Regions from separate parts of the Mus musculus genome. Here region 2 is reported to be linked to region 1. The links are microRNA targets in miRTarBase. Many come from high-throughput screens and were not tested one by one. Region 1 holds a microRNA gene; the other region holds the end of a gene's coding sequence.

Region 1 (3,108 bases):
ATCCTCCTAGCTCTGGCAAGCATACTCACCGCCTAACTGAGACATAGCTCTGGCCATTCCTATGAATGTGTTTGCATGCGTGTATATGCATATTCATATAGAGAAGTGAATATGCACACAACTATACACACATGCACATTTTTGGTGGGCATAAGATGAATCCCATGCTGATCATGAACTCATCATGAAATTCAGCACGAATTTGAACTCCTTATCCACCTGACTCTGTCAAGGGACTTCACCTGCTGAGTGAGACCTCTCCCCATTCAGTACTGAGGAATCTTAAAACTCTAAGTCACACGTCATTCAAATGGATCGATGAGTTGCACTGATGTTTGTGTGTGTGTTTCTGTTTGTGTCTCTGTACATGTACTTATTTGTGTAGATAGGTACATCCATATACTCAAATCCACACACAATAAAAACAGATAGAATAGAGATACATAGGGGACATCACATGAATCCCAGGCATATCTCTAAGTCATCATGAAGTAAAGCATGAATTAGAACTCCTGATCCACAATCTTTCACACCTGGTGAGTAAAACCATTCACTGTCCCACTACTGCATAATATTTAAAACTTTAAGTCACATATCATTCAAATGTATAAATGAATGCAATTTTTTTCCTGTGTGTGTGCTTGCATATACATGTGTGTTTATGTTATGTATATCATGTCAACACATACAATGAACATACAAGTAAGCACACATACATATACATGGGTTGCATAACATTAATACCAAGATGTCTCCAAATGAAGTTAAGCATGAATTTGCAATCTTTATCCTCCTGACTTTGTCAATCTTTTACACCTGGTGAGTGAGGACATTCAATGTCCCCTATGGCATAATCGCTAAAACTCTACATCACTTATCATTCAAAGGGATTGGCGAATGCCATTCCTGTGTCTGTGTATGTGTGCTTGCGTTTATACGTGTGTGTGTATGTTATGTATATTCAAATATAGACATGAACATGCACACACAACTATACACACATGCACATACATGGTGGAATCACAGGCTGATCTCTCATGAGGATAAGTATGAATTTGAACTCCTGATACTCTTAACTCTAGCAAGCATTTTCACTCTAAGTCACTTATCACTCAAATGGATTGATGAGTGCCATTCCCATGTGTCTGTGTGCTCATATGTGTCTTATGTGTGCGTGTATGTATATGTATATCATATTCACACATGTACATGTACACACACATCAACACATACACACATACATAGGGGCAATCACATGAATGCCAGGATGACTCTAACTCATCATGCCTTTACCATGAACTTGCACTCCTGATCTTCCCGACTCTACCAAGGGTTTTCCCGTGGTTTGTGAGACCTCACCCTGGCCCAGTCATACATAACCTCCAAAGCAGTAGGTCACATTTCATTCAAATGGATCCGTGAGGGCCATTCCCGCATGTCTGTGTGCATGTGTGTGTAGGTGTGTGTATGTATATGCATAAAATATACACGCATATACATGCAGGCACTTACGCACACAGGCACATACATAGGGGCCATCACATTAGTCCAGGATGATCTCTAACTGCTCATGAAGTTAAGCATGAAATTGAACTCCTGATCTTCCTGACACTGCCAATTGTTTACACCTGGTGAGAGAGAATATTCACTGTCCCTCTACTTTATAATCAGCAAAATTCTAAGACATATATCATTCAAATGGATCAATGAGTGTCATTCTTATGTGTGTGAGTGTGCATGCCTGTGTGTGTGTGAATACATTTGTATGTGTGTGTATTTATAGGGATGATCATATACACACATGTACGTGCACACACAATTATATGCACATGTACACACCTAGGGTCCATGACGCAAATCCAGGGTGATCTCTAACTCTACATGAAGTTAAGCATGAATTTGACACGAGAAGACTCCTAACTCTGGTAAGCGGTTTTCATGTGATAAGTTGGATGTTTCCATATACCATGAATATACACTCAATGAAACTCTAAGCACGTATAAATCAAATGGCTGACTGACATGTGTGTTTGTGTGCACATGTATGTGTCCCTCGGTGTGTGTGTGTGTGTGTGTGTGTGTGTGTATGCATGTTCATATACACACATGTACAGGCACACTTCCCTATACACATACACACATACACAGGGAAAATCACATGAATTCTGGACTGATCTCTAACTCATCATAAAGTTTAAATGAATTTGAACTGCTCATCCTCATGATGCTGGCAAGAGTATTCACCTCCTAACTGAGACAAAGATCTGGCCGTTAGTGAGAGTATGTTTGCATGTGAGTATATGCATATTCATATACAAAAGTGAATATGTACACAAGAATAAACACATGCACATTCTTGGTGGGCATCACATGAATGGCATATTGAACTCTAACTCATCATGAAGTTAATCATGAATTTGAACTACTCATCCTCCTGACTCTGGCAAGAGTACTCACCTCCTAACTGAGACATAGCTCTGGCCATTCCTATGAATGTGTGTGCATGCGTGTATATGCATATTCATATAGAGAAGTGAATATGCACACAACTATACACACATGTACATTTTTGGTGGGCATAAGATGAATCCCATGCTGGTCATGAACTCATCATGAAATTCAGCACAAATTTGAACTCCTGATCCACCTGACTCTGTGAAGGGACTTCACCTGCTGAGTGAGACCTGTCCCCATTCAGTACTGAGGAATGTTAAAACTCTAAGTCACACGTCATTCAAATGGATCGATGAGTTGCACTGATGTTTGTGTGTGTGTTTTGTTTGTGTCTGTGTACATGTATATATTTGTGTAGATAGGTACATCCATATACTCAAATCCACACACAATAGAAACAGATACAGATAGATATACATAGGGGGCATCACATGAATCCCAGGCATATCTCTAAGTCATCATGAAGTAAAGCATGAATTAGAACTCCTGATCCACAATCTTTCATACCAGGTGAGTAAAACCATTCACTGACCCACTACTGCATAATATTTAAAACTTTAAGTCACATATCATTCAACGTATAAATGAATGCAATTTTTTCCTGTGTGTGTGTGCTTGCATATACACGTGTGTTTATGTTATGTATATCATGTC
Region 2 (3,108 bases), not on the chromosome of region 1:
AATTTAAGAGATTCCTTGTAAGAATGTTGTCTTAGGGTTTCCATTGCTGTGAAGGGACACCATGACCAAGGCTTCTCTTATAAACTCTTATAAAGGACACCATTCAATTGGGACTGGCTTACAAGTTCTGAGGTTTAGTCCATTATCATCATGGTGGCAAGCATGGCAGTGTTCAGGCAGGCATGGCTCTGGAGGAGCTGAGAGCTCTATAGCATATTCCAAAGGCAAACAGAAGACTGGCTCTAACATGGCTAAGAGGAAGGGCTCAAAGCCCACCCACACAGTGACACACTTCCTCCAAGTAGGCCATACCTACCCCAACAAGGCCACACCTCCTAATAGTGCCATTCCCTGGACCAAGCATATTCAAACCATCACAAATGTAAACATAATTTAAAGTATATCCAAGCAGTTCAATTTGTATAAACCTCCCTTTTCCTTGGTTAGGCTTTCTAGACATTTCAAATCCCATAGCCACGCTGGAACAAGTCTTGTCCATTTCTAAACCCTCTACACCTGCTTTAGGAAACTTTAAAGCTATCTAGTTTCTAAGTGTGTGCTTAAACCATAGTAACTACAAAGCAATGAAAAATAGTTCCCTAAGCTTTAAACTGATGTGTAAAGAAAATGATTTGGGATAAAGTCTAAGTCCTTACTATTATGTAAAGGCTGCCCCTAAGGTGATTTTTCCTGACATACACACAGAAAAACAGAACATTAAGCACTGTGTGTGTATGTGTATGTATAAAAAGATCAGATATTCTGGAGAACATGTAACCAACTCTTAACATTAAACCCTTCACGGCTATATTATAACTTTTAACAATTTAGTAGATGCCAAAAATTGATGGTTCTTAACATAGTTGTATGCAGAATAAAGTTAAAAAGAATAAGAATCACCCAAGAGCACTCAGTTCAGTACTATCTGAGACAGAAGGGGGTTTTGTTATTGTTGTTATTCTTAGACTGCACCATGAAAGACTGGGAAAAGTACATTTACAAATTTTGAGAACCTGGGAAAAAAGTCTGACTATAATACTTGATGACACACAAGTGTATAATTAGAAAACATAAGAATTTAAAAAGAGTTATCACTAAAAATATGGCACAACTTCAGCTGTTTCCTCCAAATTTACTTTATAATTGGATGGATATAAATTAATGAACAGAAATTAAGCAAGATATACGAGACAATTTAACAGAACCTGATAGTCTAATTTCAGTATTTCCAAGTTCATCTTTAAATATTTCCATCATGGGATCTACTGGGAATCTAAGCAATGTATGACTGCTTCAACTCAATGTCAATTAACTATTTATGACATAATTTCTTCTACACCGCAATTATGAAGAACCTTCAAGAAACTTTTGTATGTAAAAAAGTGTTAGTCAAGTACTCAACACAATATAAAAGAACATTTCTCATTTGTAAGGTGGAGAGCGCTTCTGCTCATCATTTTTTAACCACAATATCACTGAGTGGAAGGAACGAATCACCTGGAGAACATAAGGAAAATAAACACATGCTAAATGAATAAAACATTACACTTTACTAGACCATTTCTACCTCTAATCCTTCAGAAGTGCAGAGATTTAGAGTATTCTTACATTAATTGCAAGAAAAAATAAAGGAGAAGTTCCTTTGAGATCACAACTATGAAGTCATGTGGTTATACAAACCCTGCTGCATTGGTGTGCAAAACATAACACATTTGCCTCTCCTGTCAGTCACCTAGCAAGACTGAACAGGTACTTTTCTAGGAAACACACCAGATGTGTTTCTGTAACTTCAATAACCTCAGCACTACAGTAACAAGAGATGCAGTATCCTTTTGCTATGGTTCCAGACAGTGGGGAAAGAGGTCACAGGAAAGAGAATCAAAACTGTTACAGATGAGAAACTGTTTCTTTAAGTTTCATCATGGTGCCACCTTCGTTTTTATATAAGCATGGTGGCATAATTCAAAGCTCAACAAATCAGAAATATTAATATTTGAATTTCAACTTGACTTTCAATTATCACCATATTAACCACCAAAACAATAAGATAAGACACACAAGGAAAGGGATATCAAATCCACTTTGCTAGCCTTGTTTCCTGACACATCAACTCATTCTTAATAGAAAAGGGATAGTGCATCTCAGTTTGCTTACAAGCTAGGAGATCACTGTGAATTCTGCATTTCCTAACTGCAAACAGAATATAGCACTTACAACAGGTTATAAATAAACTGGTTTTCAAGCATAGAGCCAGCCCCAACGATAATAATACACTATTTAAAAAGACCTAAGGCAATGAATTCCATTTCCAATGGAAAAAAAGAACTGTGCAAACAAGCTTAAAACTACTATTTTTTTTTTTTTGTGCCAGTGTTATAAAATGTAGCTTTTAATAAAACCTTGACCCAAATGTCAGTAACTTTTCAGAAAAGAATTTGGGTGGGAGAAGAAACTTATTTCATTTAGGAAAAATAACAACTATCTTTTTCCTAAGCTTCAACACACACAATTTAAACATGTACAGTTGCTGTAACACTTTACACAATTCCTATGTACTGGAGCAAGAACAAGGTCTAATAACAATTATATTTTAAACACTGGGTCAAGGCTTTACATAAAAATACCATCCATCCTACTTTCCCCCTAAATTTCTAAAATATCACATACTTCCCTCAACATCTGCAGCCATCCAGGAATTTTTAGGAAACTTTTGTGCATGATCTTAATTCCTAATCCCTGGCTCTTTGGGCTCAGTGACAAAAGATCAAAACCACCAAAACTGATGGTTCACTTGAAGTCAGACGAGAGACCCTGGCTCAATTAGTCTCATAGGATGAAAGCAGTGCTGCATCCACTGGCTCCATGCAGGAGGGGCACGTGAAGGATCTCATCAACCAGTCATCTATACAGTCCAGGTGATAGATGTGCATGCACGGCAGAAATCGAATTGGGTCCCCATAAACAAAGTCCATCATACAGATCACACACCTGAGGGAGCAAAGAAGAAATCAGAAAATTTCACATAAGTGAAACAGTGTTAATGTTAATCTAAATACACACAAGCAAAATATTCATATACCTAAAACTTTTTTTTAAAGTTTCCCTGTT

What was found. The annotated mature microRNA mmu-miR-669a-3p reads ACAUAACAUACACACACACGUAU and lies in region 1 at 935-957, opposite strand. An mRNA with a match to its seed (bases 2 to 7 or 8) in the 3' UTR can be bound and repressed. Matches are read on the target gene's strand: a 7mer-m8 pairs with bases 2 to 8, a 7mer-A1 pairs with bases 2 to 7 and ends in A, and an 8mer does both.
Region 2: miRTarBase lists Rnf11 as a target of mmu-miR-669a-3p. Seed matches in the 3' UTR shown: 7mer-m8 at 1,703-1,709.

Annotation. Positions count from the first base shown.
Region 1 is chr2:10,499,239-10,502,346 of GRCm38, reverse strand. It overlaps Mir669a-11 (microRNA 669a-11), which reads right to left and starts at 1,008; the gene lies at 922-1,008. The region is part of intron 10 of Sfmbt2 (Scm-like with four mbt domains 2); the gene reads right to left.
Region 2 is chr4:109,451,435-109,454,542 of GRCm38, forward strand. Rnf11 (ring finger protein 11) reads right to left here. Exons shown (of 3, transcript NM_013876.3): 3 at 1,423-2,988. The coding sequence ends at 2,817. Among named protein-coding and RNA genes, the nearest start is that of Rnf11, 24 kb to the right of the region's middle.